4 linked regions of the Arabidopsis thaliana genome follow. The protein of the gene in region 1 interacts with the protein of each later gene in a pairwise test. Each region holds a gene or a part of one and is shown in the gene's direction. Other genes may lie near its edges.

The links.
Region 2: the proteins of AT4G02930 (region 1) and FTSZ2-1 interact in a protein complementation assay, tested with the Arabidopsis thaliana proteins (one study listed by BioGRID).
Region 3: the proteins of AT4G02930 (region 1) and FTSZ2-2 interact in a protein complementation assay, tested with the Arabidopsis thaliana proteins (one study listed by BioGRID).
Region 4: the proteins of AT4G02930 (region 1) and RPL12-A interact in a two-hybrid assay, tested with the Arabidopsis thaliana proteins (one study listed by BioGRID).

What each region holds. Positions count from the first base shown.
Region 1 is NC_003075.7:1,294,842-1,300,128, reverse strand, and holds AT4G02930 (GTP binding Elongation factor Tu family protein), read left to right. Parts: upstream 1-1,628; 5' UTR 1,629-1,774; coding exon 1,775-1,965; intron 1,966-2,079; coding exon 2,080-2,155; intron 2,156-2,248; coding exon 2,249-2,341; intron 2,342-2,422; coding exon 2,423-2,497; intron 2,498-2,829; coding exon 2,830-2,934; intron 2,935-3,022; coding exon 3,023-3,113; intron 3,114-3,202; coding exon 3,203-3,408; intron 3,409-3,493; coding exon 3,494-3,577; intron 3,578-3,682; coding exon 3,683-3,751; intron 3,752-3,832; coding exon 3,833-3,895; intron 3,896-3,980; coding exon 3,981-4,221; intron 4,222-4,307; coding exon 4,308-4,378; 3' UTR 4,379-4,754; downstream 4,755-5,287. UniProt on the Arabidopsis thaliana protein: This protein promotes the GTP-dependent binding of aminoacyl-tRNA to the A-site of ribosomes during protein biosynthesis.
Region 2 is NC_003071.7:15,196,866-15,202,311, reverse strand, and holds FTSZ2-1 (Tubulin/FtsZ family protein), read left to right. Parts: upstream 1-1,708; 5' UTR 1,709-1,843; exon of another isoform or gene 1,844-2,295; 5' UTR 2,296-2,379; coding exon 2,380-3,012; intron 3,013-3,177; coding exon 3,178-3,477; intron 3,478-3,562; coding exon 3,563-3,653; intron 3,654-3,954; coding exon 3,955-4,079; intron 4,080-4,281; coding exon 4,282-4,374; intron 4,375-4,456; coding exon 4,457-4,651; 3' UTR 4,652-4,943; downstream 4,944-5,446. Other genes in the region: AT2G36255 (Defensin-like (DEFL) family protein), read left to right, coding at 584-644, 732-910; AT2G36240 (pentatricopeptide (PPR) repeat-containing protein), read right to left, coding at 5,156-5,446. UniProt on the Arabidopsis thaliana protein: Exhibits GTPase activity which converts GTP ligands to GDP.
Region 3 is NC_003074.8:19,549,144-19,554,963, reverse strand, and holds FTSZ2-2 (Tubulin/FtsZ family protein), read left to right. Parts: upstream 1-1,862; 5' UTR 1,863-2,072; intron 2,073-2,091; exon of another isoform or gene 2,092-2,398; intron 2,399-2,480; 5' UTR 2,481-2,528; coding exon 2,529-3,149; intron 3,150-3,516; coding exon 3,517-3,816; intron 3,817-3,906; coding exon 3,907-3,997; coding exon of another isoform or gene 3,998-4,038; exon of another isoform or gene 4,039-4,333; intron 4,334-4,374; coding exon 4,375-4,499; intron 4,500-4,647; coding exon 4,648-4,740; intron 4,741-4,825; coding exon 4,826-4,891; intron 4,892-4,997; coding exon 4,998-5,123; 3' UTR 5,124-5,303; downstream 5,304-5,820. Other genes in the region: AT3G52760 (Integral membrane Yip1 family protein), read left to right, coding at 259-1,032. UniProt on the Arabidopsis thaliana protein: Exhibits GTPase activity. Component of the plastid division machinery that forms a contractile ring at the division site.
Region 4 is NC_003074.8:10,316,772-10,320,456, forward strand, and holds RPL12-A (ribosomal protein L12-A), read left to right. Parts: upstream 1-1,733; 5' UTR 1,734-1,804; coding exon 1,805-2,380; 3' UTR 2,381-2,381; exon of another isoform or gene 2,382-2,661; intron 2,662-2,709; coding exon of another isoform or gene 2,710-2,879; 3' UTR 2,880-3,149; downstream 3,150-3,685. Other genes in the region: MDAR4 (monodehydroascorbate reductase 4), read left to right, coding at 43-161, 355-1,110; AT3G27831 (Gamma-thionin family protein), read right to left, coding at 2,710-2,879, 3,258-3,321.

The sequences.
Region 1 (5,287 bases):
TCTTCTTTTTTTTTTTTTTTTTTTTTTTTTTTTTTTTTTGCCAAACCCCTATTTTATCTTTTTATCTTTTGAAATTTTTTATGATGTATCTATGAAAATGATTTGTGACTAATGCACCGAGGCTTCATATGATTTCATTAATCACATCCCATATAAAATCACGGGTTATGTTCATAATTTGTTTATTCAATATTAGACTACTATGTGAACTTTTAGTGAATTCACTTTTTTTTTTATCCAATCAAACCTCTGGTTTCAGAATTTAGTTTCCAGTTTTAAACTTTTTTCTTGAGACGTAAAAGCTCTCATGCTTTGTTGATGATGTAGTGGTGGAGAATCGTGATCTTCAACACTTTCATGTAAAAAGGCTTCATCATCGTTAATGGCATCTTGGGTTTACTCTTGGCTGAATATAAAAAAGAAATAATAGGATTGATATAGACTCTATATATTAAGAAATAAAGTAAGACAGTCCACGGCAACGCATGTGATTATAGGAACCACTATCATGCAACGACGTGGATCAGTGGGAACCGTTGCTTTCGAAAGCATAAGAGAGACATCAATTAATTACAAAGAAATTGTGTAAACACATTTATATATATCAGTGACATTTGAGATTGGTTTTGACAAAGATATACAACTTCTCTCCCGACATAAATGTCTACAAGAATACGCAAGTTAATCATATTTGGAGCTCTTTCATCTATAGTTGTAGACAATTTGTACACTCTATTAGGGAGTTCTAGACTTTTGATGAATAGAAACATTTTCAGAATTTGCTTTATTTTTTTAATATAGGAATGTGAATATTATTTTAAATGATTCGTTTCAAACTTTGGATATATAGTCATGTATTCTTATAACTAGAAACTTCGGGTATTTGGGTAAAATTTTCGATTATTTGGATACAAATTCGGGTATTGGGTAAAATTTCGGGTATTTGGATATAAACCGATCTGAAACCGATTGGATCCGAACCGAATCCGAACCGAGATTTTCTATTTACCCTATTGGGTCCTAGAATAGCATATCCGACATATCCGTATTCGACCGATTATTACCCAAACCCGACCAGCATACCTGAATACCAAGCCGTAATTTAGATATGCAATTTATAAAGGCTAAAAAATCGTGAAAAACCATTGTGATATATTATAAATTATTTTTTGGGAGCCCTAAAAACATTACATATTTTGGAAGCTCGAGACAAAAGCCTTTCTTTTTTTTAACCCTTTAGGCACGGTTATATGAATCATATGACATGTAATATAGCAGTTTGTAATAGTACCGTCATATTGTTTAACCTTCAAATTCAAATATGCATGATTTATGTTCTTGACAAAAATATGTATATTTATGCAAAATTAAATATTCATCTATAACGATCATATTATCTATACTGTTAATTTTAAAAGGATCATATCATCTATACTGTTAATTTTTAAGTGATTTTTTTTTATAATTTGGATCCCATTTTATTTGCTCTTAAAAACTTTGGATATACTTGATAGCTTTTTAACAAACAAAAATAAAATAAAAAGTACTTCGAGCCCACGTAAAATCGAATAAACAAAAATTTAATTTGTTGAACAAGTTGGTGTTTTGAACTAAGGCCCAATAATAGTAAGAATACTAAAATGGGCTTAAGCCGGGTCGTCGGATCGGGTTTAAGAAAAAACAGGGTCGAGGTTTCAAGAGAAACCCTTGTTACTCAGGCGACTAAAACCCCAAATCTCATTTGTGTGTTCGCCTTTCTCTCGTACAAGTCAAAATGGCGTCCGTTGTTCTTCGAAACCCTAGCTCGAAGCGCCTTGTTCCATTCTCTTCCCAGATCTACTCTCGCTGTGGTGCTTCCGTTACTTCCTCTTACTCGATCTCTCATTCTATCGGTGGAGATGATCTCTCTTCCTCTACCTTCGGAACCTCCTCCTTCTGGAGATCCATGGCCACTTTTACTCGAAAGTTAGTTTTCTTTCCATTTTTTGCTTCTTTTTCCCTCTTCAGATCGGAAAGTTGGAAAACTGGTTGGTGATTCTGATTGTGATTGCTCTGCTTATGTAATTGCTCTTGTGGCAGTAAACCTCATGTAAATGTTGGAACTATTGGGCATGTTGATCATGGCAAGACCACTTTAACTGCTGCAATCACAAAGGTACTTCTTTTGTGTATATTGGTTACATGAAACTTATTGTCAAAGAATCTGTTTTTTTTTTAAGTTGATATTGTGATCTTACTTATGTTGCAGGTTCTTGCTGAGGAGGGCAAAGCTAAAGCTATTGCCTTTGATGAAATTGATAAAGCTCCTGAAGAGAAGAAGAGAGGAATTACTATTGCCACGGTCTGTGTTATCTTTATGTATCATTTTCTCATTTTTCTAATTAGATTTTGTTCGTTTACTTGATGTTACTTGGTTCTGTAGGCTCATGTGGAGTATGAAACTGCAAAGCGTCACTATGCTCATGTGGATTGCCCTGGACACGCAGATTATGTTAAAGTAAGAAACCGATATACTTTTTTACTTTCATATAAGATAGGTGTTAACAATAGTCGGATTCTTGGAACTTAAAGTATGCTGCTCCTTGGTGTATATCATTTTAACGCTGCAAACATTACATGTTACACATTTTCTTGAAACTCTGACTCCAATCTATTTATCAATGATCACGGTTTTGAACTATGATAACTAGAAGGGTTATTCTCTATGCAAGCATCATAATCTAGTATTTGTCAATTGTATAGTGGAGTAACATGCATCAGTATACGGGTTTCCTTTGAAAATACTTTGGTAAACAGTTGAGCCTCACTGCTTCTGTTGCTAACTTTCAGAATATGATTACTGGAGCTGCGCAAATGGATGGCGGAATTCTTGTGGTTTCAGGACCAGATGGACCCATGCCGCAGACAAAGGAACATATTCTACTTGCACGCCAGGTTTGGATTATTAAACCATGAACACTTGAAGCTACTCAGTGGAGCTAGGTTCTTTGCCACAATTTGAAAATTATGCAATGTTCCACAGGTTGGTGTTCCCTCACTTGTGTGCTTCTTGAACAAAGTTGATGTGGTGGATGACCCTGAGCTCTTGGAGCTTGTCGAGATGGAACTACGTGGTTTGTAGATTTTTAATGTCACAGAACTTCTTCTTTCAGCATATGAAGTATGTATACGCTTGCTCACATCAACTCTTGTCTCTATACAGAGCTCCTCAGCTTCTACAAGTTTCCTGGGGATGATATTCCCATCATCCGAGGATCTGCTCTGTCCGCATTACAGGGCACCAATGATGAAATTGGAAGGCAAGCTATATTAAAGCTGATGGATGCTGTTGATGAATATATACCTGACCCTGTTCGCGTCCTTGACAAGCCTTTCTTGATGCCAATTGAAGATGTTTTCTCAATTCAAGTACACTTAGTCTACATCCTTGTTGTTTTCTGATTCACTCTTTAAAAAAAAAAAAACAGTTCTGATACATTTCTTTTTCTTAAAGGGACGTGGAACTGTTGCAACCGGTCGTATCGAACAGGGAGTCATTAAAGTGGGTGAAGAAGTTGAGATATTGGGTTTACGTGAGGTGAGAGTGCATAAATATTGTGTTTGTACTGCCAAACTGGTGTTTTCTGGGGGGCTATTACAATTAAGCATTTTCTTTAGCATAACTGCAAGATTTGATTTTCAGGGGGGTGTTCCACTGAAATCGACTGTAACTGGGGTTGAGATGTTCAAGAAGATTTTGGATAATGGACAGGTAAAGCCAATATCAAAAGATTACAAAGACAAGTTCTGGGCATGTAAGATACTGATCAAACCTTGGCTTCTATTATGCTAGGCTGGTGATAATGTAGGACTTCTTCTGCGTGGGCTAAAGAGAGAAGACATTCAGCGTGGAATGGTAAGCTTAGGCATCCTTACGACGAAAACCAACTTTACTGAAAACCAACTGAACTAAAGTTTAATCCTCTGCTTTTACGTATTAGGTGATTGCTAAGCCTGGTTCATGCAAGACATACAAGAAGTTTGAAGCAGAGATTTACGTGCTCACAAAGGATGAAGGTGGACGTCACACTGCATTTTTCTCTAACTACAGGCCTCAGTTTTACTTGAGGACTGCAGATATCACTGGCAAAGTGGAATTACCCGAAAACGTGAAGATGGTTATGCCTGGTGACAATGTCACAGCTGTTTTCGAGTTAATCATGCCTGTCCCACTCGAAACAGGTAAAACAATCTTACAGAAACTCTCTTTTGGTACTTGAAGTTGGATTTCTGATTCTTTTCCTTCACGTCTCGTCTTCTGGAAACAGGTCAAAGATTTGCCTTAAGGGAAGGAGGTAGAACAGTTGGAGCTGGTGTTGTATCAAAAGTGATGACCTAAACTACTCAAAAGCACATTCTTCTCCTTCGTTCTCTAGGAATCCATCAATTTCGAGATTTTTCTTTTTGTCTTTTTGCTGCTTTGAGATTTCTTTGGGTAGATCAAATAAACAGAGAGAAACTTAATTTATGTTTCCAATGAGAAAGATTAGGGCAGAGGGCACGAAACGTCTATTTCTTTTTGATGCTTCCTACTTTGTGAAACTTTCAAAAAGCCACTTCCAATTCTTTCTCACCTTCGTGGTTTGTCAAGTATTTGTTTTTATTTCTTTAAACCAAAATCATGAATTTTCGATTATTAAATTAAGTTGACCAGAAATGAAATATTTATTTCATGTTTAGCAAATCTTTTGCTCAAGTATGCTTCCTCTTATGATGCTATGCTAGATTGTAGTGCTCACTCTTGTGGTGAGAGACAAGCTTGTATGTAACATTAGATTTTGTACTGATACTACTTTTTTAGGTTCCACACTCCCAATTTAGATTTAGGAACTAGTTATATTGTTGAAAAGAAAATAAATGTCGTCGTTCCCTCTAGTTATTATTTATGTTTGTGTTACAACTTCCATTACAAGAAGGGGTCAAACAACGCAAATAGGACGAGCATAGTAGACGAAATATGCAAACTACTGATTTACCAGTACAAGCAGGGTCGTCAACGCGAGGCTCTGATTTCATTCTCTTCACACAATTAAAGTTTCATGGCCCTTACTTTACCATATGTTCAAACCGAAGAACATCATTGTTGTGTGACTTGATCGAAAAGCTACTGAAGAAATTATGACTGTTTTTTTAGGTTGTAATTCGCCACAGGTTGGTATTCCATCACTTGTGTGCTTCTTGAACAAAATTGATATGGTGGAGGATGAAGAAATGTTGGAGCTTGTAGTGATGGAACAAACGCATTCTT
Region 2 (5,446 bases), on another chromosome or scaffold:
CATGTCAAATTGTTATGAAAACATTTTATATAATAAGAAATTTATTTGGTATAGTATCATATGAAACAAAGAGTCAATACAATATCAATGTCATTATATGTGCTCATTATGTTAAGTTGAGTCAAGGCACTTTACTAAGAACACTTCAATAATTATATTTAACTATTTCTGTGTATTCATACGTATGATACAAGGTTTGGTGTTCTATATACTTTATCCTCATCCCTTGAATTTTAGTTGGGCCAAAATAATGACATTAAAATTATAATATGTTGCTATATAAAAAATTGTTACAATTTGGATGCAACATAGAGAGATCATTAGCGAGACATTGGGTGGATCGTGCAATTCATTTCTGTTTTGTCAACTAGCAATTCAAATTATGGCGACATTATATACATTAATCCATATTACACAAAAACTAATAAACTATATATGTCTTGGATTCAAATAGAAGAAATAAAAGTCAACGAGTTTGCCCTATAAATGATTCTATGCTTTCAAATAGTTAGCTACAAGCTCATCAATCTCTGCTCTATTAAAAAAAGAAGAAGAAGCAAACACAAAACAACAACAAAGAAATATGGCAAAGCTCATAGTTAACTTCTCTGCTCTCTTGATGATCATCTTGTTGGTTTCTAATGGTAATTTTAAGATTTTCTTAACTTCCTTTGTCCTATATTAATATCGATATGGATGTGAAAAGATTAATGTGAGAATGGTTAAAACAGGACTCCCAAAGGCGGTAGCCCAAACATGCTTTAAAGGTGAAGCTCAAGAGGGTGTGTGTGTTAAAGTTGACGGCTCAAAATTGTGTGACCTTCTTTGCAGGGCAACCAACACAACTTGGTTTGGGGCATGTGAAGTGGAAGACAACGAGACGCACTGTCACTGCTACGGACCTTGTTAAGTATCTCATCCGGACGCAAAACCAAATATGAAACGTGAATAATTGTGTATCAGTACCTAAATAATGTGTGCATTGCTTATGATCAATGTCACATATCTACATGTGTGTTCCATGTTTGTGTGTTTTTATTTTATCGCTTTCAATAAATTTGCATCAGCACCGTAAATGTAGCTGATGCGATAAATGAATGTAAGATTAAATCTGTTTATTATGTTTGCTTTTGGTGTTCCATTATCTCTCCTATATATATGTCCTCTTCTTTTTCTTCATTCTTGTCATTAATCTATATGTATGTGCTATTTTTTGTTGAACAAAGGCTAATGAGTCTTATCTATAACACCAAATCAACTCCTAATAGTAATAGAACTCTTAACCTAAACTCAAAAGAAGTAAAGTACAAGGAAAACTCTAATCAAAAGTTCAAAACCATATTCCTAAACCATGAAACATAAAGGAATATCACAACCTCGAAACTCTTTTGCCGTAACGACTAGAGTTGCTTTTTGTTTTTAGTTAATTCAAATGATGACATTATTGTTCCAACTATGTAATGTAGCCACCACATTTTTCTTGTAATTTTTTTTGTTTCCTTCATAAAATTCATTTAGCAAATTTACACAAAAAATTCAATGAAAGTACATGAAATGAAATTTAAAGTACAATCATTTCCCATAGTTTTTTTTCTTACCAACACCAACATAACAGTGATAAATTGGAACAAAATTTTACCAAAATAAAAATAAAAATTTTATGAACAAAAGCATTTTTTATATATTTTTTAATTATTGGGGGTTTAATGAATTTGAGATATTTACTAGTCAGAAAACACCAAAACCCTCCGTTTCGTGGGTTTCCTCCAGACCTTGAGCTCCTTGTTCAATTCACACTTTTTCTCTCCCAACTCTTCTTCCAGGTTTCCTCTGCTACTCTCAGGTTTCTCTTCTCCACTTCCCTCCAGCTTTATCCTTTTGATTTCGTCCTCCATCTTACTGTATTTACCCAAAAATCTAAGCTTTTCTCAGTGTTCTTCCATTTCTCTACTTTGTTTTCATGTAATGCTGCAAACTTCGCAATACCCATCTTCAATTTCTTCAATTCGTAATGGGAAAAAGCATTTTAGTTTAATTTGGGTTTTGTGGTTCCTCACTTGTTTCATTCTTCTAAGTCTTAAACCATCCACTGATTCTCAATTTCTGAGGATTTGATATCTATTGCTGGTTAACAATGGAGCATAGATGCGACTGGGTTTTGTTTATGTTAACTTTATGAATGTAAATCACACTGCTTTGTGGCTACTTTGTGGATTTCGTGTTTTACTTTGTGGCTGAATCATATAACTCTAAATTGAGAGCTTTGGGTTTGACCATTTAGCTTTTTATGAACAGGTCTTGTTAGGGAAGTAATCAGTGGAATTGGATTTAGTCTTTTGGTTCTGAATTTTGTAAAGTCCTGCAGTGATTGGTCTCATTATGGCAACTTACGTTTCACCGTGTTTTACTCCTTCGGATTCTCGGTTACTAACTGTTCTTAGAAAGAATGTTTTACCGGAGAATCATTTAGGCAGGTTGAACTCCATTAGAACGATTGACAGTAAGAAAAACCGAGTTGTTGTTGCCGCTCAGAAATCTGAATCTTCTCCAATCAGAAACTCTCCACGGCATTACCAAAGCCAAGCTCAAGATCCTTTCTTGAACCTTCACCCGGAAATATCTATGCTTAGAGGTGAAGGGACTAGTACAATAGTCAATCCAAGAAAGGAAACGTCTTCTGGACCTGTTGTCGAGGATTTTGAAGAGCCATCTGCTCCGAGTAACTACAATGAGGCGAGGATTAAGGTTATTGGTGTGGGAGGTGGTGGATCAAATGCTGTGAATCGTATGATAGAGAGTGAAATGTCAGGTGTGGAGTTCTGGATTGTCAACACTGATATCCAGGCTATGAGAATGTCTCCTGTTTTGCCTGATAATAGGTTACAAATTGGTAAGGAGTTGACTAGGGGTTTAGGTGCTGGAGGAAATCCAGAAATCGGTATGAATGCTGCTAGAGAGAGCAAAGAAGTTATTGAAGAAGCTCTTTATGGCTCAGATATGGTCTTTGTCACAGTATGTCCTCAAATCTTTATTATTACTATTGCATTTGTTCTTCTTAGTTATAAACTTTGATTGTAGAAAAAGAGGTATGTGTCATTTGTCAATCACTTATCAGCTAGTTCTGGTCTCCATCTGTCCAAAAGAGTGAGGTTTATATGTCTCTTCATCATTTTATAGGCTGGAATGGGCGGTGGAACTGGCACTGGTGCAGCCCCTGTAATTGCAGGAATTGCCAAGGCGATGGGTATATTGACAGTTGGTATTGCCACTACGCCTTTCTCGTTTGAGGGTCGAAGAAGAACTGTTCAGGCTCAAGAAGGGCTTGCATCTCTCAGAGACAATGTTGACACTCTCATCGTCATTCCAAATGACAAGTTGCTTACAGCTGTCTCTCAGTCTACTCCGGTAACAGAAGCATTTAATCTAGCTGATGATATACTCCGTCAGGGGGTTCGTGGGATATCTGATATCATTACGGTATAGCTTTTCTTATGGGCATCCTGTGATCATTTTTTTGTGTATGGCAAATGATTTACCAGCTACGTTTGTCCTTGATTTGTAGATTCCTGGTTTGGTGAATGTGGATTTTGCTGATGTGAGAGCTATAATGGCAAATGCGGGGTCTTCATTGATGGGAATAGGAACTGCGACAGGTAAGTTTGGAATGATGGATAAGCTCATTTAGCTGCATAGTTTCATAAGCAGAACCATTAGTCACTAGATATGTGTCGAAATAGTCTAATTGAACTAATGAGCTAGTAGATTGGTGTGGCAAAGAAACCAGTCTAGTGACTGGGATACTGAAAATGACCATATTATATTCACTGTTACTCAACTATTGTGCATCTATGTCATGATGTAATAATCAAAGTCATGAACCTTGAACTTCTTTTGCGCAAGGTTTTGTTTTGTTTGCAACGTGCTGATTCTTTCATGCTACTTGTAATCATTCAGGAAAGAGTCGGGCAAGAGATGCTGCGCTAAATGCAATCCAATCTCCTTTGTTAGATATTGGGATTGAGAGAGCCACTGGAATTGTTTGGAACATTACTGGCGGAAGTGACTTGACATTGTTTGAGGTTTTTGTCTCTCTCTCTCATCTTTGTTTCTTATCTCTATGTCGATAGATCCATAAACAATAACTGGATCTTGAGAGACGCATTGACAGGGTGTTAAAATCATTTATTTTCTTCCTTCCATAGACAACTTAGAGCAAAGCCTGATTTTGCTTCATACCCCTAAGATGCTCTATAGTTTTTCATACACTTTGGTCTTGTGTAGGTAAATGCTGCTGCAGAAGTAATATATGATCTTGTCGATCCAACTGCCAATCTTATATTCGGTGCTGTTGTAGATCCAGCCCTCAGCGGTCAAGTATGTCCTTTATAATGTTTCTTCTACTAAACATAGATAAGACCTCTAGAGATGATAGAATTGATGTTTTTTTTGGTAAAAGGTAAGCATAACCCTGATAGCTACGGGTTTCAAACGACAAGAAGAGGGAGAAGGACGAACAGTTCAGATGGTACAAGCAGATGCTGCGTCAGTTGGAGCTACAAGAAGACCCTCTTCTTCCTTTAGAGAAAGCGGTTCAGTGGAGATCCCAGAGTTCTTGAAGAAGAAAGGCAGCTCTCGTTATCCCCGAGTCTAAAGCCCAATCTAATCACTACCCTGCACACTGCAGCAATAACAAACGTGTGTGTACTGGTAGTCTGGTACTGCCTTCTGGGATACAGCAAGATGTGTTGATGTATGATCAAGAATCTGTGTGGGTGTGTATATGTTCTGTCACTGCCTCTGGTCGTGTTCTTGAATAGGTTGTTTTAGAAATCGGAGTTTCTCTCTATGTCACTTCCAAAACAAAAAAGGAGAAGAAGAATCACACTTCTCGAACCATAAACATACTTATAAGATTATGAGAGTTTTAGCAGAAATTATTGTCATTTTTCATTCAGTTAATAAAAAAATCAATAGCGATATACCAGCAAACAACTGTGACTTTCGAATAAAAAAAGTTCATCTCCGACGCATGATTCTGTGGCAATGTGCAGCAACCAAACAAAGAACCAACTTGGTTTCCATTTCATATGTTCAAAATAAAATTTGTTGATACATAGATATAGCTTGGGTCTAGTTTACACAGATCAAACACAGGTTACAACATCCGGACTTGTTTCCTTGAGAATTTTCCAGTGCAGGACAAGCCATCCATCAATCTATTATATGTAAAGATATCAGGCAACATATCTTTATCCAACATCTCGTTCACTAGAACTTCTCCTTCCTTTCTTCTCCCTTCTTTCGTGAACCCCGAAACCAAAACATGGTACGTTGTCTCATCGGGTTCATATCCTTTGCTTGATGCCAAAAGTCTCAATCTGTTTGCATCAGTAGAATGATCAGAACTGCAGAGATCCCGAAGAAGCAAGTTAAATGTCACACTATC
Region 3 (5,820 bases), on another chromosome or scaffold:
ACAAGTGGGGCTATTGACTTGTTTGTGTAGCAAAGGCTGTTCAAAACTACAAACTAATGGGCTGATAAAGCCTTATACGGCCCAAAACATTATTAATTCACTTACCGAAAATGCCCTTATCACATATCACGAAGATACGAACACGAAGAATGCGTAGTAGTCGCCTGTTACTGGAATTATTTTCAATTTCTGAAATCAAATCCGATTGAGAGAAAACACTAACTTCAAATTCGAGATCTGAATTAGGGATTCTAGAGGATGACGAAGGATTTTCCAATTCCACCGGTTGTTTTCCCCACCAGTGGATCATCTCCGGCCACCGCAAATGTTCAGCAACGCCGAGTTCCCACAGCTCCTTACCAACCACCACGTCAATCCTCCGCTTCATCTTCAATCCCTTTCATTCCATTTGAAATCGGATCCGCCGCCGTTTCAATGCCGGCGGGACCATTCGACGGAACAATCGCTTCATCTGCATCTTTCGGTAGAGGAGTCTCTGCTTCGTTTGAGGATGAGGAGCCTTTACTCGACGAACTCGGTATCCATCCAGATCAAATCTGGAAGAAAACTAGATCGATTCTCAATCCTTTTCGAATCAATCAGACTGTTCACAAAGATTCAGATCTCTCTGGTCCGATCTTCTTATACCTTGCGCTTTGCTTATTTCAATTGCTCGCTGGGAAGATACAGTTTGGTGTTATACTTGGTTGGGTTGTTGTTTCTTCTATCTTCTTGTACATTGTCTTCAATATGCTTGCTGGTAGAAATGGGAATCTTAATCTTCATACTTGTACGAGTTTAGTTGGTTACTCTCTGCTTCCCGTTGTGATTTTGTCCGCGGTGTCCTTGTTTGTGCCACAAGGTGCTGGTCCCGTTCGGTTTGTGCTCGGTGCGGCTTTCGTGTTGTGGGCTACTAGAGCTTGTTCTAATCTGGTGGTGTCTCTTGCTGATGGAGGAGAAGAGCACCGTGGATTGATTTCGTACGCCTGTTTCTTAATCTATACTCTGTTTTCGCTTCTCGTTATCTTTTGATTCCTTGCTTTCGAATATTGATAGATTGTTGAACTTTCCGGTGCCATTACTGAGTAGCTTAATGTGATATCTTATAAGTGTTTGTGGTGAAATAGCTGAGACATTGTAAAGGTTTTTGATAACTTTAGAGGAAGTTGTTATTGATGTGGTTTAAGTAATTGAAGATGATGTTCTAAGATCTCTTACTATTGGAAATCTCGAAACGTTTATGCCATATACATCCTTTTGTGGTTCTGTTTGACAGTTTCTTGACATGAACTGTTCTTTGAATTAGATTTGGTGAGAGTATCAATTGCTCATTTTTAGCGTACATGTGTTGCAGTTGTAGTGTAGATTTTCCGAACGTAGAAGCGAGTCACTAAGATGTTTTGATTAAAGATCTTAGGTTGCTTCAACTACCAATGATAAATAAGTGACTGGGGAGAAGTGTGAATGGTTTAGCTTGAAATTGTTCTATAAGCGAGAAAGTAGTTGATCAGAAGATACACATGACGAGCTTTGGCCTGGCAATGGCATTGCATAAGATAGCGAAACTATCATACTTCGATTGTCTCAATCACAATTGATGCGTTCGAAACAAATCTAAACGCAAACAAACAATCTGAATTATAGAATTGTGGCTTGTTTACGTTCATCATCATTCATGGTTCCATGGACTTCACTGTTCTACATGAGCAAGCAAAAGACTCATAAAATTGTGCAAATTTTTCGTATGCTTATTATCCGGCTAAAGCCCAGAATTCGTTGTATGGGCTTTAAGACCAACATTATAGGCCCATTTATATTAAACATTTAATTTTCTTCATCACTCTCGTCGGCTAACGCTTTGTCTCTTTCACCAACTTATTTAACAGATGAATTTAGTAGCTGTAGTTGTTACTGAAACAGATAAAAATTAGGAGCAAAATCAAAATCATAATCCACTTTTATGTGATCGAGAAAGAGATTCTAAGCCCAGAAAACACCAAAACCTTCCATTTTCATTGGTTCCCATTTTTTTTTCTTTGTAGCTCGAATTCTCTGCTGCCACTACTCGTAAGGTACTCTTCGTCTTTTACATGTTAATGTACTTCTGCTACAATCTCTAAAACTGCTCCCTCTGGAAATTCTGTACTCAATCGTCGAAATGTCTTAGCTTTTTGTATTCGTCTACTGTTTTACAAATTTCTGGAATTCCCCATCTTCAATTTCGTTACTTTAGAACAGTACGATGTGCCAATTGTAGTTTTCTGATTCAAATTGATACTCCTCGGAAATTTATTAATTAAAGCATTGACTTTTCTTTGTAGTATCTTAGCTTCTAGTGTTGAACTTGATCCATATGCTGCTGATATGCAACTGGTTTCCAATTATAGTACTGTAGAATGTGAGTGCCACTTTTTTTTTTTTTTAATCTTCTTCTTGGTTCAGGACTTGACGTTGACCTCTTGTTCTTTCTCTTGAAGCAGTGAAATTGGAGTTTTTAATAGATCTTTGGTTGCTTCTGTAGTCTCAGAATGGCAGCTTATGTTTCTCCCTGTTTAACTCCTCCGGATTCTCGGGTACTCACTGTTCTTAGAAAGAGTGTGTTACCTGATCATCATCTAGGCACGAGGGTTGGTTGCTTAAGAATGAGTGAAGGTACTACTAAAAGATATCGTGTTGTTGCTTCTCATAAGTACGAGTCTTCGTCAATCAGAAACTCTTTGAATTCTCATAGTACAAGCCATTTCCAAAGCCAAGACTCTTTCTTGAATCTCCACCCTGAGATATCCATGCTCAACCCAAGAAAAGAAACTTCCAGTGTTCCCATTACTGAGGATTTGGATGAGTTATCTACTCCAAACACTTACAATGAGGCTAGGATTAAAGTTATCGGCGTTGGAGGTGGTGGTTCAAACGCTGTGAATCGTATGATTGAGAGTGAGATGATTGGTGTGGAGTTTTGGATTGTGAATACCGATATCCAAGCAATGAGAATATCTCCGGTTTTTCCAGACAATAGGTTACAAATTGGTAAGGAGTTGACTAGGGGTTTAGGTGCTGGAGGTAATCCAGAGATTGGGATGAATGCTGCTACAGAAAGCAAAGAAGCTATTCAAGAAGCACTTTATGGTTCAGATATGGTCTTTGTCACAGTATGTCTATAACTATTACTTTCACTTTTTCTTAGTAACAAACTTTTATTTATACTTATTTCTATATAAAGATATAGATTACAAATGAGAAGTTTTACGGGTCAGAATCGCCGTTTGCAATATCATGTTGGTTTTATTGAATTTTGGTGGGTTGCAGTTTCTCTTTGTGTTTACCAGTTTCTCTTTTATCTCCATCTGGTTAAAGCAGTGAGGTTTATGTCTTCGATCATAGAATACTTTCCTGTTTAAAGTACAACCAGTTATGGGTTATTGTGTGAATTTGCTGCCTCCATAGATTGACTGTAAGATTAGATCTTTAAGTTCAGTGCCTAAGCTTTTCTAGCCAAATGTCTTGTTATTTTTCTAGGCTGGAATGGGTGGTGGAACTGGCACAGGTGGTGCTCCTATAATTGCAGGGGTTGCAAAAGCGATGGGTATATTAACGGTTGGTATTGTGACAACGCCTTTCTCATTTGAGGGACGGAGAAGAGCACTCCAGGCTCAGGAAGGGATTGCAGCCCTCAGAGATAATGTTGACACCCTCATTGTTATTCCAAACGACAAGTTACTAGCAGCAGTCTCTCAGTCTACTCCAGTTACAGAAGCATTTAATCTGGCAGATGATATACTTCGTCAAGGTGTCCGTGGAATATCTGATATTATTACGGTATGGCTTTGAAAGTATTTATTCTCTAAGCTATGACATCCATGTTTATAGAAAATGTCTGACTGCAATATCGTTGTGTTTGCATTGCAGATTCCTGGATTGGTCAATGTGGATTTTGCTGATGTGAGGGCGATAATGGCAAATGCAGGTTCTTCATTGATGGGAATAGGAACTGCAACAGGTAAGAGTAGAGTGTTCTTTGGAATTGAACTATTTTATTGATAGGCTCTATCTGCTGCATCATTACGTATGTCGAAGGGGAATATTGGTTTAGAAGGCAGGTTAAAGAACCCTGTGACCAATATAGGCGACGCTTTATGCATATGTTTGTTAGCTAAAATGCTAAGTTTTCAATTTACTGAGAATTGGTACTACAGATGTAGCTGAGTAGATTAATTTGACTATAGATTTAGTACTCTTTAACCATGACAAAGGAATAATGTTTGGTCCACTGCAAGTTGGTATATTGAGGAAAATCCTAAACTTGAACTATTTTGGTGCTATGTTTTGGCTGCATCATCATGCTTAATCTTTCAAGCTATACTGTTATTTGAGCAGGAAAGACCCGAGCAAGAGATGCTGCATTAAACGCAATCCAATCCCCTTTATTAGATATTGGCATTGAGAGAGCCACTGGAATAGTTTGGAACATAACCGGTGGAAGTGACTTAACACTGTTCGAGGTTTTTTTTCCCTCTCTACGCTTTCAGACCATTTCCTGTCCTAGAAATCACTTGGTTTCTTCCCTAGACAATTCATAAAAGAACTTCAGTCCCATGTCATATATAACGTTGTGTGTCTCTATTTTGACTCTCGGGAAACGATTTGTAGGTAAATGCTGCTGCAGAAGTGATTTACGACCTCGTTGATCCAACAGCGAATCTTATATTTGGTGCTGTGGTAGATCCATCTTATAGTGGTCAAGTAAGTATTCTTCTTTCTTGGATTTTCTTCTAACATATAACCTATGAGATACCCAAATTGCTTAAACTTTTTTTCTTCCTGTCAGATAAGTATTACCCTGATAGCAACTGGCTTCAAACGCCAAGAAGAAGGAGAAGGGAGGCCACTTCAGGTATTCACTTGTCTCCCTTGACACACACACACAACATAGCCGATTCTTACATCAAATGTTAAAAGTCTTCGGTTGTAATCTCTCTTATTGCTACATGAAAATACAGGCGACACAAGCGGATGCATCAATGGGAGCCACAAGACGTCCTTCATCATCATTCACTGAAGGCAGCTCCATAGAGATCCCAGAGTTCTTAAAGAAGAAAGGGCGCTCTCGCTATCCTCGCCTCTAGACCCACTTTGATCACTCTACATGATATTGTTGAATGTAAGGAGAAAGAATGTTTGGTGCGGCTATGTAAATTGCCTCTATGGTGATATTCTATAATAGGTTGTTAGAAATTATTTTACTATATTACAAAAATAATGTTACTTGACAGATGATAAATCTTAGTCTCTGTCACTCTGTTTCCAGATTTTGCCTTTGGATAAATGGATAGAAAAACAACATCTAAGACAAATATATCCTATGATGAGACATTGTAAATGGTTTTGGTTATTTAAATCAAACATACGGGTGCACAAATTATTATTTTTACCACAAATTACACATAAATTTCGAAAGAAAGAAAGAAAAAAGGTATAATTAAACGATATTATTGCACATCGTGCAAATAAATTAGTCTCGATGATATTGTTACTAAAAAAACATTAAGGACTTGTGTTGAAAATTCAAAGCTGCTAGCAATCTCGAGGAGGAGGTGGTCTTGGAATGGGTTTGCAAGGCTTTTTATAGTTATGTCCCGGCGTATCTTCACCTCCTCCCTTTGGAGAATCTCCACATGGTGGGGAGGGTCTTACGCATATCTCAGGTTTACCTTTGTAGTTGCACACACATTAAAAAAAAAATTTAGAAGATTAACTTGTTGGTTGTAAATGGATGTAACATGTAAGAAAATACGAACTAATCAGTTTGTAAACTACACCATT
Region 4 (3,685 bases), on another chromosome or scaffold:
AGGTTGTGTATTTAGCTTGACCTTTTTAGTTTCTTATGACAGTGGCACGTCTCTTTACGCCCAAGATTGCAAGTTTGTATGAAGACTACTACAGGGCTAAAGGCGTAAAATTTATAAAAGGAACGGTTTTGACATCATTTGAGTTTGACTCGAACAAAAAGGTAAGATCGTTTCTTTTAGCTTGAGATTCAACTCGAAAAATGTCTGGTACGTTGCATCTATGTATACAACTAAGGATGGCAAGAATCAGTAGAACCACAGATACTTCTGGTCCAGTACTCAAACTATGAAATCTTGAGCCTTGTTCAATGTATTTGTTTATTGATATGAGGTTTTTTGGTTTTCGATTTACAGGTTACTGCAGTTAATCTCAAAGACGGGAGCCACTTACCAGCCGACTTGGTTGTGGTTGGTATCGGGATACGACCAAACACAAGCTTGTTTGAAGGACAGTTAACAATAGAGAAAGGAGGGATAAAAGTGAACAGCAGAATGCAGTCAAGTGACAGCTCAGTGTATGCAATAGGCGATGTAGCTACATTTCCAGTGAAACTATTTGGCGAAATGAGGAGGCTTGAGCACGTGGACTCAGCTAGGAAATCTGCGCGACACGCAGTTTCAGCCATCATGGATCCAATAAAGACCGGAGACTTTGATTACTTACCATTTTTCTACTCAAGGGTCTTCGCATTCTCATGGCAATTCTATGGAGACCCTACAGGTGATGTTGTGCACTTTGGAGAGTATGAAGACGGGAAATCATTTGGAGCGTATTGGGTTAAAAAGGGTCACCTTGTTGGATCTTTTCTTGAAGGAGGCACTAAAGAAGAATATGAAACTATCTCAAAGGCGACACAATTGAAACCAGCTGTGACTATTGATTTGGAAGAATTGGAAAGAGAAGGACTCGGGTTTGCTCACACGGTTGTGAGTCAGCAGAAAGTTCCTGAAGTTAAGGATATTCCGAGCGCTGAGATGGTGAAGCAATCTGCAAGTGTGGTCATGATAAAGAAGCCTTTGTATGTATGGCACGCAGCTACTGGAGTCGTTGTGGCTGCATCTGTGGCTGCGTTCGCGTTTTGGTATGGGAGGAGACGCCGTAGATGGTGAGGAAAAAAAAAACTCTTCAAGTGTTGGATTCATTGGAAATGGAACTTGCTGTTGTTTGTAGCATTGGTGGGAGAAATATAGAAGGGAGAGTCCAAACTACTCAATGTGATTACATTGGTATACGATTATTATATGCTTCTTTTAAAATGCATAAACGTTTCCACTACAAACTTTGATTCAACGTCTTTGAAGCCCTTTGTTACTTGTTAGTGTTCATAATCTTGTGATTATTGGTAGAGTTAATTCGGCAATACGGCAATACCCATAAAATTAGAAAAATAGCAATGAGGAGCTAGCTAACAAATAATTTTGCACACTTATTTAATTGTTATGACAGAAATCATAATTAATAAACAAACTAAATGTGATTAGAACAACAAGGGCGTTTGGTCTAGTGGTATGATTCTCGCTTTGGGTGCGAGAGGTCCCGAGTTCGATTCTCGGAACGCCCCTTTTTATTTTTTTAACTCCTCAACGTCAGGCCTCACGGGTATTTTCGTAAACATACAAACGATACAACCTCATCTATTTGTATATGCGCATGATAGCAAACGTACGCAATATTCTATTCCCCAAAATACCCCTTATCCATCATTTTTCTATCCTCTCATCTTTCATCTTCCTCACACACAATCCAATCAAAACACACAGAGAGAAGAAAAACTCAGAAGAAAAGCCAAAGAGTGAAACAAAAATGGCGTCGACGACTCTCTCAATCGCAACAACAATCCGTTCCTCATCTTATCCTACTCTCGCTTCCATCAATCACTTCCCTTCCCGAACCACCACCATCGAATTCCCCTCTCGCTTCGGTGGTGGTTCATCATCCACATTGACCCACCGTGCAACCCATCTCCGTCCAATCGCCGCCGTCGAAGCTCCGGAGAAAATCGAGAAGATCGGATCCGAAATCTCATCCCTAACCCTCGAAGAAGCTCGTATCCTCGTCGACTATCTCCAAGACAAATTCGGTGTCTCCCCACTCTCTTTAGCCCCCGCAGCAGCGGCGGTTGCTGCTCCAGCCGACGGTGGCGCGGCGGCTGTAGTGGAGGAGCAAACAGAGTTCGATGTGGTTATCAATGAAGTTCCGAGTAGTTCTCGTATTGCAGTAATTAAAGCTGTTAGGGCTTTGACTAGCTTGGCGTTGAAGGAAGCTAAGGAGCTAATCGAAGGATTACCAAAGAAGTTTAAAGAAGGTATCACTAAAGATGAAGCTGAAGAAGCTAAGAAGACTCTTGAAGAAGCTGGTGCTAAAGTCTCCATTGCTTAAGGTTTTTATAAAAAAAAAAAAAGAAGTTGTTATCTTTTCTGGAATTTGATTGGTCTTTTGTGTTGTTTAGTATAGTTTGCGTCTGGAATTGTTGAGAAATTGTTGTAATTTGAATCACATTTGGTTTCCCATTAGCTGATTTCGCCATTGATGTGAGCTTTTTGGTAGCTGCACATAACATGTTTGTTGAAATGCCTAAATGAGGCAAATCACTCGTAGTTGCTTAACATGAAACAGAGTTAAAAATAATAAGCACAAATGTCACTGCTACATTTTTTTACTTAGTATTGTAACACTCATGAAATATTTAGGATATATTATAAACGAGATCATGTATGAATACAAAAACACAGCATATTAACACCAAGTTTGAGGCATTGTCCACCTAAGAAACCTTGTTCTTTGCAGTGCTTATTGCAGTCCGGAAATTTTGAGCATAGACCTTCCACAAGGTACCACCCTCCTTGAGCTTTGGCCATAGATTTTGCGTGTACTTCACCTATCGTTTTCCAAAGATTGTTGTAATATTAGAAAAAAAGTCGTTACTCGTTTAGACATAAAGGCAAAAGAAAAAGAAAATTCACTCGACAAGAATCTCTTGCAGCTGGTAACAACGCAATATCACTATGTATTTTATTTTATTTTTTGTGATAACAAGTTAATATCACAATGTATTGTGAATCACAATGTATTGTGAAAATAATAGTGTATACAATATGTATGGAGATATGATCTAATGTCTGATATAAAATAAGTATTCGGTTTGCTAGTTAGTGTTGAGTGTTAACTCATGAATCTTGCTACTTTGGTTATACTTCAGTATATATGAATAAATTGAATTAAACAGAAAAAAAATATAAACGTTTTTTTGGCATACTTGGGGCGAGAAGAACAATCATGCATAAGAACACAAGGAAGGCGCATTTGCTTGATGAAGCCATTTTTGGTTTTTGTATTGTTTATTTTTCTAATATTTGCTAATGGAACACAATATTACTCAAAACCCTTATTAATATATATATATATATATCTGTATATATAGAGAGAGAAATATGATGAGTTTTTTACTTTGTAAATAAAATTGGATTCTTTTCTTATTTAATCTAGGATATTTTATTACATTTAAGTTATGGTTTTATTTTATATATATGAAATTTTTAATAATCATGATATGGGATGGGGTGGATTTAATTAGTGATGATTATAGGATTTAGATTCAATTTTTTCTATTAGTTTATTTTCATTATGATAACTTTAGGTATCCTACTATATTATTTAGGAAGTACATTTTAAATGTAACCTTAA